Linked DNA regions of Solanum lycopersicum. The protein of the gene in region 1 binds, or shares a complex with, the protein of each later gene. Links are inferred from orthologs where the notes say so. Each region holds a gene or a part of one and is shown on either strand. Other genes may lie near its edges.

Evidence for each region. The genes of interacting proteins can lie anywhere in the genome.
Region 2: mediator of RNA polymerase II transcription subunit 15a (region 1) and mediator of RNA polymerase II transcription subunit 30 share a complex: the UniProt entries of both Arabidopsis thaliana proteins name them as parts of the mediator complex. The link is inferred for Solanum lycopersicum from reciprocal best matches to the Arabidopsis thaliana genes NRB4 and AT5G63480.
Region 3: mediator of RNA polymerase II transcription subunit 15a (region 1) and mediator of RNA polymerase II transcription subunit 23 share a complex: the UniProt entries of both Arabidopsis thaliana proteins name them as parts of the mediator complex. The link is inferred for Solanum lycopersicum from reciprocal best matches to the Arabidopsis thaliana genes NRB4 and AT1G23230.

What each region holds. Positions count from the first base shown.
Region 1 is NC_090803.1:3,489,642-3,496,037, forward strand, and holds the start of mediator of RNA polymerase II transcription subunit 15a, read left to right. Parts: upstream 1-2,624; 5' UTR 2,625-2,782; coding exon 2,783-2,925; intron 2,926-3,739; coding exon 3,740-3,851; intron 3,852-5,607; coding exon 5,608-5,728; intron 5,729-6,201; coding exon 6,202-6,396. UniProt on the Arabidopsis thaliana protein: Component of the Mediator complex, a coactivator involved in the regulated transcription of nearly all RNA polymerase II-dependent genes.
Region 2 is NC_090807.1:2,029,146-2,033,292, reverse strand, and holds the start of mediator of RNA polymerase II transcription subunit 30, read left to right. Parts: upstream 1-1,347; 5' UTR 1,348-1,470; coding exon 1,471-1,869; intron 1,870-3,210; coding exon 3,211-3,309; intron 3,310-3,870; coding exon 3,871-3,969; 3' UTR 3,970-4,005; intron 4,006-4,086; 3' UTR 4,087-4,147. UniProt on the Arabidopsis thaliana protein: Component of the Mediator complex, a coactivator involved in the regulated transcription of nearly all RNA polymerase II-dependent genes.
Region 3 is NC_090804.1:17,771,162-17,775,117, forward strand, and holds the start of mediator of RNA polymerase II transcription subunit 23, read right to left. Parts: upstream 2,801-3,956; 5' UTR 2,480-2,800; coding exon 2,339-2,479; intron 2,269-2,338; coding exon 2,225-2,268; intron 1,998-2,224; coding exon 1,898-1,997; intron 1,817-1,897; coding exon 836-1,816; intron 1-835. UniProt on the Arabidopsis thaliana protein: Component of the Mediator complex, a coactivator involved in the regulated transcription of nearly all RNA polymerase II-dependent genes.

The DNA of each region.
Region 1 (6,396 bases):
TGCATCCTACCCTAGATTATTTAGAAAGCACTGTAATAGTGCAATTATTCTGATAAATTACTTAAATTTTACGTGGAAACCCCGATTAATGTTTGAAATATTCATCTCCAATTTTTTTCTAATGTTTGAATCTTAACACTCTTACAAACAAAGGTCACATTTCTGCTCGAAAAAAATTATGGCCTCAATAGTGAAATTTAGTTGTGGGATTGTCTTTGCATAATCTAAGATTGTTTTGTTTAACCTATTTATATATTTTAGTCACAATAATTGAGGAACAAAATAAAATGGAGCGAAGAAATTCTTTTTATCGGTATGATTATGTCACAAATCAAAATTTTATTGGTATTGATACACAATAACACACTTTAAAAGATTAGAGATAATACACAAGTACTTTCTCAACTTATGTCTGAAATTCAGAAACACACTTATATTATACTAAGGTCTTATTACCCCTGAACTTGTTTTATTAATAAATTTCGACTCCTTTTCGGTCTACGTGGCACTATCTTGTGGGCTCAACTTGGTTGACTTTTTTTTTCAAGCTAGTGCCATGTAGGTCGAAAAGGGGTAGAAAATTACTTATAAATAAGTTCAGGGGTAATAGGACCTTAGTAAAGTATAAATGTGTCTCTCGGATTTCGGGCATAGGTTGAGGGGGTACTCTTGCATTTTCCCAAAAGATTATGTAAATATACGTGAACTTATGCTCCTCTTCTGAATCATACATTGTGATGTTATATTTTTAAAGAAATATTTAAATATAAATATTTGAATTCACACTCAAAAAATCATATTGCAATGCTATGTTGATCGGATGCACCTCTCCAAGTGAGATTAAAAATTTGAATCTTATATCTATCTTGTCTTAGATTAAAACCTCTCTAAGTGATTATCGGTAGCACTTTATATGTATAAGCTTTGATCTTTCAAAATTTTCAAGTTTGTAAAATTGGAAATTCCTTTTTTTGGCATTGTAATTTTATATAATTAAACCAAATATGTAAATTAAAACTAGCAATACTGGATGATATAACACACAACCAATGGGTTCAGTCCAGTGGCGCAGCCACATATATGGATACCCCTTCCTCGAAAATGTACATCGTGTGGCTGGGTAAAGATATTTTTAATGTGTGTGTATATATATATATATATATTACATTACTGACATTCCTTGATGTCTACATGATTTTACTTATTCATATTTTGACACCCCTTCGTTGAAATTTTGACTCCATCACTGATCTAATAGTTTTTATATACACGCGCGCACACACTATTTGAATAGATAAAAATTATTGGATCAGTAATTTAATAATTTTAACGATTTTTAATGTAAGAACTTAAATGTAAAACCGATCAAATATATATACTAGATCAACATTTTCATAATAATACACTCATCATCTCAAAATTCTAAATTTGCCTATAAATTGAATATATGATTTTCGTATAAAGTGTTTTACTGAACTCGTACACGACTAAACTAGTTGTTACATTCATGTTTAATTGTTTGGGATGTGTTTGATGAATTTGGGATGAGATAAGAAAATGAATTGATTTTTAATTTGTATATAATAAAGGAAAAGGGGATAAATATACCCTTAAATTATCGTAAATGATATGTTGATTCTGTTATTGCACGAATTATATACACGACAATACTTAATTTATTACAATTTAATTTATAAATGCATAGAGTTTCTTTTAATTCCCAATCTAAGCATATTTTAACTAGGAAAAAAACATACTCTCCTAGTCCACTTTTATTGTCATGTTGCGCTTTTCGAAAGTTAACTTATCTAATTTTTGAAGTTAAATTAAATTACGTTAATTCAATTTTTTTTTAAAAAATAGATATTTAAAAATTATACAAAAAGTAATATAAATTACAATTTTTACATATCACTATGATAAAAATATTAATCAAAATTCTTATACCTTGATTCTTAAAAAAGAAAGTCATGAAAATTAATTATGGACGGAGAAAATAGTAGTTAATCATAATAAAAATTGTCAACGATCCTCGTCAAAATGCTAATCTCGTTGACTAGTTAATTTTCCCGGTCAGCCACCCCCCTCAAACCCCAATCCCAAAAAATTTAATTTTGTTATTTAAAAATACAAACAACTTTAAATTTTTATTTTTTCACTCTTACCCCCTCCCCCTCGCATTACCCCCACCCATACCTCACCCCATAAAATAGTAATTTTGTTTTTAAAAAATATTTTAAATTTAATAAATTATTTTTTACTCTAGTATCAAAAACATTTTTCATTCATAAATCGAACACTATAAATCATTTTCGGAAAATATTTTCTACTCACTTACAAAACATGAGGAAATAATTTCAAACTCTACTTGTTTTTCACGAAAACATTTTTTAGGAAAATATATTTTCCATGAGAAAATACTTTTATCACTATTCAAATCATTTATTTTTTTTTAAATAAAAACTTTTTATATACTACACAATGCTAAAATAAAATCACTATATTAAACATAAATTTTTTTTTCTTAAACTAGCTTAAAACTAGTGAATGGGCCAAGAGATATTGAGTCAATGGCGGCTGGACACGTTGGTAATAGTCAGATATTACTAAAAAAATTTATTACTATGTATGAAATGTATAATATAAAGTCTTTGGGAGTTTTATTTTCTTATTTATACATACACTCAAGAAATCTAGGCGCAATTGTGATTTTTCATCGTTGATCGAAGCCAGAAATTGTGATTATTGATTGTGGATTAAGGAATTTTGGTGCGGAGTTGAAATGGATGGGAATAATTGGAGGGCCGCTCAGGCTCAGGCTCCGGGAGGTGGTGAAGGTGGTGGAGCGGCTGCCGGAGCTATGGAGTCCGGTGATTGGAGGACTCAACTTATGCCCGATTCGCGTCAAAGAATTGTGAATAAGATGTAAGTTTTTTTTTTTTTTAATTTTTGGTTTTGCGACTTGTTCTTGTTTTTTTTTTTATATTTCTGGAATTTTGAATTTTAGGGTTTTTTTTTTGTGTTTTATCGGTTATCTGAAGAAATCCGATTTCGTTAGAAGTATTGATTAATCAATCTGATACATATTTTTTTTCAGTGTCGTTCTGTTTTATGGAAACTTACTTTATTAGGTGAATTTTGGGGGGTTTTTTGTTAATGGTATTGGGTGAGTTAATTGGAATTTTGTGCCCTAGTTATTACCAATTTTGGTAATTAGTCAAGGGGTAACATATGCTTACACTCTGACCCCATGTGTGGGATTACACTAGGTATGTTTTGTTGTTGGGGGTGGGGGTGGTGTTGTGGTGGATCAGTCAAGGAACTAGTTCAAGTGGGAAAACCTAGTTTTACTCACTGTGCTTTATATTTTGTTTTAGATATGTCGAAATGGTTGGCTGTTGTTCGCGATAATTGGATAATAACTACTTATATTTGCTCAGAGGAAATAAGTTTTAGTCTTTTGTAGCAGGGTATGATGTCAAATTATTGTTAATATATTTGAGAAGCATTTATCTAGATTTTGATCTTATCAAGACTTTGTTCTTGATATGTCAAAATGACAGGTTGTCACTGGAGATAATTGGATTATAATTGCTGATATTTGTTTAAAGGAAACAACTTTTACTCTTTTGTAGCAGGGCGTGATGTCGAATTATTTTTAATATATTTGAGAAGTATTTATCTAGATTGTGCTTTTATCAAGAGTTCAGGTTGATCTTTTGTTGATATGATTATATAGAATGGAGACCTTAAAGAGGCATCTTCCTGTTTCTGGGCAAGAAGGAGTACAGGAGCTTAAGAAAATTGCTGTAAGGTTTGAAGAAAAGATCTATTCTGCTGCTACAAGTCAGGTATGTAGTCTAAACTTGTTTCTTATTTGTTCAAATTGTAAAGCTAGCTCATAAACCACCCCTGCCTTTAAAATCCGATATTAGACTTTTGATGCAATTTTGTTTTCAAGACCATATAAGGGAATCACTCATCCCTTTTTCATCCAATGTGTGATTCTTGTTTCAATTTGTTATCCGAGACCATATATCCTTTTTCATCCGATTTGAGACTCTTGATGCAACTTGTTCTCCAAAACCATACAACCATCCATTTATCTGATGATGGATTCTTCTACATAAATGATTCAATTTGTTCTCCTTATCATTGATGTTATTCCTGCTTGTATAAACTTGCATCTAGACACGTTGTATTAGGGATGGCAAGAGGACCAGGTACAGTGCGGTTGCAGGCCAAATCCGCATAATCCTGCGAAGATTTTGACCCCCCACCCATATCATTATGTTTATGTTGATTTTCGTACTCCTAAAGGAAAACATGAATTACCATTTTAGCAATTTTACCAAGACATGGCTGACATTAAAAATAATAATTGGATATTCTTATATTTGCTCTCATCAAGGTTCTTATAACAGGGAAATGGAAGAGCCTGATAGTATATATCAGTTCATCTTAAGCATGTGATTTGTAAATCTTATTTAATTGGTAATTTGTGTAAGTAAAATTACCTATTACAGTGATGTCACAAACAAAAAAAGGGTTAATTCTGCATATTGACATGTTTTTCTCACACGTAAATATTATAGTATCATATTAATTATTATTCCCCAAGAGTGCTCACTATATATATATATATATATATATATATATATATATTTTGATAACCGAGAAATCCGTCTGTGACCCGCCACCCTTTGGACCAATCACAGTCTTCTAAACTAGGTGAATAATGGGCCTGGAGAAATCCGTCTGTGACCCGCCACACTTTTGACCAATCACAATCTTCTAAACTAGGTGAATAATGGGCCTAGAGAAATCCGTCTGTGACCCGCCACCCTTTGGACCAATCACAGTCTTCTAAACTCGGTGGATAATGGGCCCGGCCCTCTACCCTTCTCCACTTAAATACTTAGCGTCGCTTTGCAAGTTTGCATGGTGGGGCTTGAACCTGCAACCTAAGTTACAAATCCTCCACCTTTTGCCGCTTGAGCTAGGCCTTGGGGGCAGTGCTCACTATATATTTGTCAACGCAAAATGGATAGTAATAAGTTATATGGAATTAAATAAAATAATTTCATATTTGAGTAACCGACATAGATTCACAAAATCTACTTTTACACTAATTTTTATACTGACTACCACAAAAAAATAATTTAGATCTAATTTGAATGTCTTTGCATGCCTAAGCAACCTCCACAAAGTAGGTTTAAGGTTTGTGTAAACTCCATCCTCCCCACTCTATCCTCCCAGATCTGGTTGCACGCCTAAGGAAAGAACTTAATTTCTTTTTTTGTTCTTGTTCAAATCGCTGCTTGGAGATTCTTTACTTCAGTAGAGGCCTGAAGGTTTATCGAAAACAATCTCTCTATCTTTATGAGGTAGTGGTAAGGTCTTTGTACATTCCTCACCCTCCCCAGACTCACTTGTAGGAGTTACACTGGATACGTTGTTGTTTAAACCCCCTTCATAGTTCTGCAACCCGCCTTATGCTGCATCAGTGTTTTTTAAAAAGTATTTGAACTCGCCCTGCATAGCCTACCCTCAGTTTGCCAACCCTATGTTGTATGTGTTTTAACTTATATTTATCTAATATTGCAGCAAGATTATCTTCGGAAGATATCTTTAAAGATGCTGACCATGGAGACAAAATCTCAACCTCCTATGACCAATTCTGTTCAGCCAAATCCTGCTAGTAGTGGTCAGAATGCCCTTGGTCCAGGTGAACAATGAAATCTCATGTGCTCTATTTCAAATAGGGAAAACTTGTATGACAGGACGTTTTGTGTAAACCTAATTACTTCGTTCTGCTGTTGAAAAGTTTGTTCTCTGTAGCTAATAAGTGTAAAGGAAATTTTAGATGCTTGAACCATTGTGCTAATCTTTGAGTGATCTATAATTTTGGTGACTAGCCCTAATAAGTATTGTTTGTGCTCTAGGTCAGAGTCCTAGCCCTGCTCTTTCTCTATATCCAGACTATTCTTGTTGTTTATTTGTCTAATAAGTAACTTAGTCAAACTTCTCTTTTGTATTTTCGAATCAGTTTTCACAAAGCTATGACTTCTGTTTCTTGTATCTTAAACTAAAAAATACGTGTTTACTTTTGCTGCTTGTTTGTATTTTATTTTAATGTTATTATGTTTGCTGGTTATTTGATAGCATCTTGACTGGCTTCTTTTTTATTCATTTCTGTAGGATCGCACAGTATGCAATCCCAAGTCAACAGCCAAGCACAGCAACTTCCTGTACCTATGGTGGCCAATCAAACTCAAACACGACAACCACTGTTGCAGCAAAACCTTCAGAACAATATGGCATCGACTGGGCTGCAAAATTCTGCTAGCTTGGCTCCTTCACTTCCTTCTGTGAGTAATTTGACGCAGGGTACCA
Region 2 (4,147 bases), on another chromosome or scaffold:
TACATCCCAAACTATTGTAAATGGTACGCAAATACCATTCGTCATACTTTTGGGACATTAGTGCCCTTGTCGTCATACTTTTGGGACATTGGTGCCCCTGTCGTCGTACTTTTGGGACATTGGTGCTCCTACCGTCATACTTTGGAGACATTGGTACCCCTGTCCCTTCGTTAGAGTGAAGGGCATATATGCTCTAATTTATGAACGACAGAGACATCAATGTCCCAAAATAATGACTGAAGGTATCTGCATATCATTTACGGTAGTTCGAGAATATATTTGTCATTTTTTCCTTTTTATAAAATAAATTTATTTGAATTTTAAAATCTGAAAAGTGTCTTATAAAATGAAATAGAAAGAATATTATATATATATAATATTTTAATTTCTATTATTAAAATGCACAATAAGACTAATTATCGATTCGAATGGTGTTGTCTTTTTTTAATTAGGTATTAATGGCACGTTGAATAAAAAAAAAGGAATCTTTGATTTGTTTCTTTCAAAATCTCAAATGGAAGTTTTTAAACATTTCTTCTTTCGCTTTTTAATTTTAATTGGAATCACACTTTTTTTAGTTTGCATCTATTTGCGATACATAGACTCTCTCTCATTCACTTTACGTCTTTTTCACTCGTCTTTTTTTCTATAAGTTTATATTTTAAAGTGTATATAGTAGTATATTACATGCATCTAGGTCTATATGACTTGACATCTAGTATGAAATTACTAATTAGAAGACGATGCGTAACTTTTCAAAATTATGAAAAAAAAACTACGTAGTAAATATGATAGGAATGTTTATGTAATCTGGTAATTTTTCTGCAACGTTAAACACAGATATTTGTGCACTTCTTTCCCCCATTGAATTTCGGGGAACTTATATACACGTACTATAATTAAAAAAATATTTACCATTTATAGCAATAATAAAAAAAAATTACTTAATCAGTTTTAATTTATTTATAATACAAGTTTTATACATATTATAAATAACAATTTAATATTACATATAATACAAATTTTAACGATGGATAATACGTTTTTCACACATTTTAATACATTTATAATAGAATGTGTCAAATTTAGTAAACAAACTTAATATATTTCAAAAAACAACTTATAATTCACGTACATTGCATACATAATTCACTTTTAATTCATATTGCAGATTTTACATAATATTGCTATAAATGACAATAAATAAAAAGTATCGCTAAAATCAGTAATTATTTATTAAAATGTATTAATTTATATAATTTTTCCTTGAATTTTGACCCAAGTAACTTGATTTTGGGCTTGATCCAGTAATACATAGCTCCTTACCCGGCCCAAAAAGTACACGCCACGCATAAAACGACGTCATTTTATGCTTAAATTAATTCTCCTTACAACTTCTCGCACCGCCGATCGCCACCACTACCGCCGCCGTCGATCTAGGGTTTTGACAAGCCGGTGACATTACCCGGTATGGAGGATAAAGGCACAATTACAAGCCCTAAAACCATACAAGAACTAGCAGTAGAAGGGCAAAAGCATTTAGAAGATACAATAGAAGCAGCACATCAAATTCTCTCCGCCATGAACGATGAACTCTGTAATCCATCACTTTGGTCCACTCTAAATACAGCTGCTGCTTCTTCTGCGGTGGCGGTGGCCGGTGGAGGAGTTGGTGCTAGTGGTGTTTTGAGTAATGGACAGCAGCACCATACAAACGGCGACATTTCGTCTGATACTTCTTCGTCTTCTTCTGCTTCAGCTCAGCATTTGGATATTGGTGGTGGTGCTCTTGATGAATCTCGTCTGCGTTATAAGTCCTCTATTGCTTCCTTGCGTTCTGTTCTTACTGCAATTTCTAATTCCCAAAAGGTAATTTTACGTATAAAAATGCAATTTTTTAAAACATTTTTGTAATTGTGTGATATCTGTAATTTAAGATAGTGATCTCAGGAAAAGTTAGTTTGATGTAATCATGAATCAACAATGGCTTGATCATAAACTAGTTCGGTTCAGCTATATGAATGAATCACTTCTAGTGAAGTCCATTAAACAGAAAATGTGTAAAAGACTGGGGCTTTGTTCAATGCCAAAGGTAGTTCAACGTGACCGCAAAGATTTGGATCCAACGTAGATAACCTCTAGTTTTAGAGGTTCCAAAGGTTAAAACTATTTGATACTGGAGTGAAGTGGTTCCATATGGATATGGAGGATTCGTATACTTCCACCACCAACCAGCTTGTGTTGAGCCATAGGTGGTGTTGGTGTTCTGTTAGATGGTAGTTTTGATTGGGAATGAAACTCAAATAGATATTCTAGAAATGTAGTTCCTTCGGAGTACTGTAGGAGAGAAAAACATTATCCAGTTTGAGCAGAAAAAAAAAGACATTATCTAGCGATAAAGGTAAATTCAGTGTGAAAAGTGTTTGGTGATTGATCTTAATCACAAAACAAGGGGTTAAACAGTTTTGGTGATTGATATGGGAAAGACATCATGTGGTTATATACTAGCACAATTTGCCCTTACCAATATGAGCAACATTTGCACATGGCAATTGTATATTTTGATGTTCTAGACATGGGGATAATATTTCTTCACTATGAATATAATATTCAGTCGTTTGATCATCCCTCGTCATCAGTTGATGAAGCTCAACTGTGCTGCTTACTCTTTTTCTGATTTGTCTTATATTCTTCTGGGTTTGTGGGTGGCTGTTGGGGGCTGGGGATGGGGGAAGATATTTAACTATGTTTTCGAGGTTGTTCTTGTTTCTGCTGTTTAAACGCACATGAGGTATAAGTGTTTATACCAAGATAAACTACTGCGTGTTATCCTTTTCAAGAAAGAATTAGCACTATAATCACATCTCAAGTCCTTGGTGTTGGTGTATGGATTGCCTTAACATTTGTGCATTGGAGAGAATCTGGTTAAGCAGTAAGAATTTTGTTTGTCAGTATGAACAAATAAATCACTGATGTTGAGTGCATTTTTGTTGCTCAACATATGTCCGACTACACATTAAATGAGTTCTTTTAGTAACTTCTTTCTTAAGAGTTGTGCAAGTATTTGCTCCGTTTTAACTGGAAGTTGTCAAACTCTCCTTTCTGTTGTCTCAATTCTCATGATTAACAAGTTATATTTTCTTGTACATTTTGGAAAGTTGTTAACTTATTGTATGATACTTCACACTCATTACTGGCTTTGTTAGCTAGGCAAAAGCATTGGAAGCTGCTTCTGCTAGTGGTTCACTATCTGCAGCAGATCAAGCGGAAATTGAGCAGCTGGAAGACCGGGCCTCTTCATTAAAGAAGGTATTGATAACATATCAAATTTTGACATATTAGAATTTCCTTGGATTTTTGTTGGTTTTTGGGATGCATGATGGGTGGGTTTGGTGAAGCAAATGTGTGTGCCAATATTTGAACCTTGACTGATGTCTTCCTTGATCCATTGAGTAATTTCTTATCCATTAAAACAATATTGAGGTATACTACATGTTACATTTTCATTCCGGACACATGACAAAATGTCTTACTGTACAAACTTTCTCAAGTCTCGATATTTGTCACAACCTCAAATCAGAACAATATGATTTTGTGATAACATATGAAAACTTGGTTTCAACATCCTCTGCTTGTTGTACATACTGTATTATTATTAATTTTATTCCTATTGCGTTAAAATTAGTCAAATCCTGTTTCATTTGCTTTATGTCTCCCCCTAGTGGCAATAAGAAGTCCTCAAGTGAAGGTAGAGTTTTATCGTACTTGAGTGCATGCCTAATAGTTTTCTATTATCTTACGGTAGTGAAAAATCAAGTTGCTATTGTGATCAAGATTTAAAGCATATTCTATTGTTCTTACAAATTGCAGGAGCTTGTAGACAAGAACAAGCATCTCAAACTTCTGATTGACCAGCTTCGAGATCTTCTTGCTGACCTATGTACATGGCAGAGTCCCTGTTCTACATGACTCTGCTGCTATAACTTCAACCATACAATTAAATCGGTGAGGTGTTAGAGATGTCAAAAGAGCAACGTATTCAATCTTAAGAAACTGTTTTATTTTTTTTTCACTTCTTTTGTACAGAAGTTACTGCTAGATTCAAAAAATTGGTCATCGCCGGACACCTGCTATATGCTGCTCGCGG
Region 3 (3,956 bases), on another chromosome or scaffold:
ATTCAATTTTAGGACATCAGAGCCCTTTCAACTCAAGATTTAAAAATTGTAAGCAAATCGTTTAAACACCATAAGCGAAAAATCAAACTTAAAGTAATAGCTGCCCCAATCCATTGGTTTAGGCAAAACCACCGGAATGCTATAATTGAATGTGTTATGAGCGACAATACAAATACATTTAGAATCAGAATCCTGCAACATTTTCTACATTTAGTATAACTAGCATAAACTCCCTTAACATACTACTAGTCACTAGAATTCATATCATAATCTTCGAAACTGCCCAACTTTTACTGGCAATTGCCATTAGAATCAGTAGTAATTGATTGAAAATCTATTAAATTTTCCACGCTTCTGCATTTCTCCACAACAGTTCCTTTATTTTTTATCTTTTTATTTTCGATAAGTAACAGGTCCATGACTAATTTAACCATACTTTGGCATTGATAAATGTATTAAGTCAGTGTTTTTAATAAGGTTCAGCAATAAAGCACGGCAGTGATGTTCTAGATCTTTCTTTTTTTGGGATAAGTATCATACTAGACCAAAATGGGCATTATTCTTCCTAGACTAACAGGCATTTTTCTTCCTAGACTAAAGTGGGGCACAAAGTATAGTTGTACTTGAATTTATATCATACATAAAACATATATAGTTGTTGATGTCAAGGACACCAAGAGGACTGCCAAAATATGATGCTAAAATGTTCTTTCAGTCCGGAAGATGTCTCACCTGCTCCTTTTTTCTCAAACAAACAGATTCCTATTTACACATTTTATCAGTATGCTTGTACATGATATTTTAACATGGTTCTAATAATATCACATATACATACCTCTCCATGCAATGGTTCCCCAAGCACACTAGAATATGTAATTGGTGAATATCTCATGTTAGCAACTGCTTCACCAGACGAATTTGCAGAGGCTTGAGGAAGAAGTCGAGCGGTCCCAAATGTAGGGCAGTGAAGGTGCTGATCCAACATTTGCATATGCATAGCCATCATATCTCGCCTCCGATGGATCTCCAAAATAAGAGTGAACAGAGCTTCATCATCTGGTATATTTTCTAAAAACTGCAACCCACTCCGGAGAAGTTCATAAAACGGTATACGGCATTTATCATTCTCAACCAGCAACCAAATAACATCTAAACAACTGTGTAGCCACTTAATTAGGGCCTTATCTGGTTTCCAATATTTCGTACTGTCTAATTCATCAATACCATGTAACTTTTGGTCCCAATTAATCAACCAATTCAACATATGGTGGAGAACTTCGGCATGTGTTACTGGCTTAAGATTAGAATCTAGACCAGTTAAAATAATTTTGCAACATAACTGACGCAGACTGCTTGTAGCATTATCATTTAACAACAAATTCACTTTTGCAACAGACTGTTGGCTAGTACCATTAACATCAGAAGACTTCATGGGAGACAAAGCAGCAGAAGATGAGGGTTCAGCTGCTGAATGAAGAGGGGACCCAATACCATGGACAGCGGGCAAAGGAGATGCAGGATTTGATGAGTGAAAAATGGAGGTAGACGCTACTGTGGTGGAAGAAGGGAGCAATCCAGATGTTAAATTAGCAGAAGAGACAGCAGCAGATGGTAGATTAGCCTGGCTAGCGGATATCTCAGTTGATGAAACGGAGGAAAGAAGAGAAGGCAAGAAAGAATCCCAGTTTATGAATCCTATACTAGACAAACTACATATGGCAAATTGAATAAATTCTGCACGAGGTGCGTGACTACTGCAATGAATAACGAGGGAAATAAGAACAGATTCTGCCACTGCACTTAGCTGTTCCTTGTCCTGGAATAACATGTCAGCATGCGTCATTACACAGAAGATAAACAAAAGCAAAGATGTAACATTTCCAAGTGAAAAACTTACAGTAAACTGGCTCTGCAGCTGTCCAAAATCTAAGAGAAATTGCTCATTTCGTGGAGGAAGCTCTCTGTTAAGAGCAGTTACTCTCTTCTGTGTCTTGTTCCTGTATATCTCTAACGAATCATAAGACTTTTCTTCTTCTTTTTTTATTCTTTGGGTCAGTGCAATGAAACATATGACTTTAGGCATCATAAAGCACAAGTTTGAAATGAAAAGAGAAGTGAAGCATGCATAAACTGAATGTAGATAGCTGATAAGAATTATGTGTCGAAATCAATTGCTGATAAATTTCAATTTCAGTAATTATTAATAAAAGAAGAGTAGACTTACGGTGGTTCTCTGATAGAATCATCTGATTTTTGTCCAGAATTTTTCTGCCAAAGAGAAAAAAAATAATATAATTTATATTTACAGAAGAAGGGGTTTGAAATTAAAATTGATTACCAGTCCTAAGTATAAATTGAAGAGATCAAGGATGGCAGGTCGAGAGGGATGAAACTGTTGGTGGGACCGAGACCTCAACTGGTGTGTGTTGTTATGCTCCATTTCTCCGCTGCTTGGAGTGGAAACGGGAACTCGCAGCATACTTTTCTTCTTTTCCCCTTCCGATTTAGACTTAGACTAGACAGTCCAAAATTAACTGCAAATATAAAAGACCAAGGAATATATGCTCCACGAGTTTCCCCTGAAAATTATGTCTTTTTTATCACATTGGTCAAATTTATTTCAAGTAAATTTCGATCAAAACTAATAATTATAAAAATTTTATAAAATATAAAAAAACACTTCGTTTTTTAACTTTTATAATTCAATCCAAATAATTTTAAAAAAAAAAAAAAATCTTTCTTCTTCTTCTTCTTCTTTCAACTTTCTCTCTTTTTTGTTCTTCTTCTTCCTTAGAAATCCAACTATCAAAACAAATATTCTCTCTATTATCTTCCTCCTCATCTCTGGTCCTGAATCTCTCCTCTTACTAAACTGAACTCGTGCGACTTAAAATGGATAAGTCATTAATTAAAAAAAAATTACAAATTTCGAACAATACTAAATTTTTTGTTAGATTAATGAACAGTAAATCGTTCTATAGATGTGAAAATTGAATAATGATGTAATGGTACCTATTATTTATTGTTTTTGAAAGAAATTCAACAAACCCAAAAAAACTTAATTTTGAGGAAATGTATATGTATTGTTAATATTCGGTGAAAAGTCATTCTTTGTTGCTTTTGTTAGTCTTTTTGTGACCATTTTGTTGATATAATTTTAGAAATATAGTCTTGTTAAGTTGTTCAACATATATTTTATTTGTTGAGGGATGTAGCCTATGTTGCCACATGTTAGTGATATATTGGTGCATATTCCAAAGAGTTGTCATATGTTGGAACATCTCACCTATGCGTTAGGGCAACAAAATGGTGATATGTGGCAACAGAACATTTATCTGTGGCAATACAAGATCCATTTGTGGCAACAATAGGTACATTTGTGGCAACAGTGTTACAACACTTAAAATGAAATAGGACTAACTAGAACCTATCATGGGTTCTCTGAGTTAATAAGGTGTTAAATGATGAATAATAGCTTTAGGAGACGTTTAAACAGTTTGGAAGTCGAACTTCAAACCTTTAATTCTTTCAATTCAGTCAGAGTCATCCGGTAAGGAGGAATTGAAATGGGTTTCGTTTCCGGCAACAAATCTATGCTGAAATTTATTTCCCGTTAATGAGGAATTGCGGGCAAATCATCGGGAAGGACTTTCAGAAATTCCTTCACTACGGGTACCGACTCTAAAGGAGGAGCTTCAGACCCAAGGTCTTTGACCCTCACAATATGGTAGAGACATCCGTTATAATCATCTTACAAGCTTTTAAACTCTAAATGATTTAACCTCTAGGGATTGAGTTTCCCCCCTTCCATTCTAAAATGTGTTCATTAGGCAATTGGAATTTAACTACCCTTTTATTACAAACAATAGAAGCAAAACAAGCATGTAATCAATCGATCCCCAATACGACATGAAAGTCCAACATATCAAGTTATACCAAATCGACCAATGTAACTC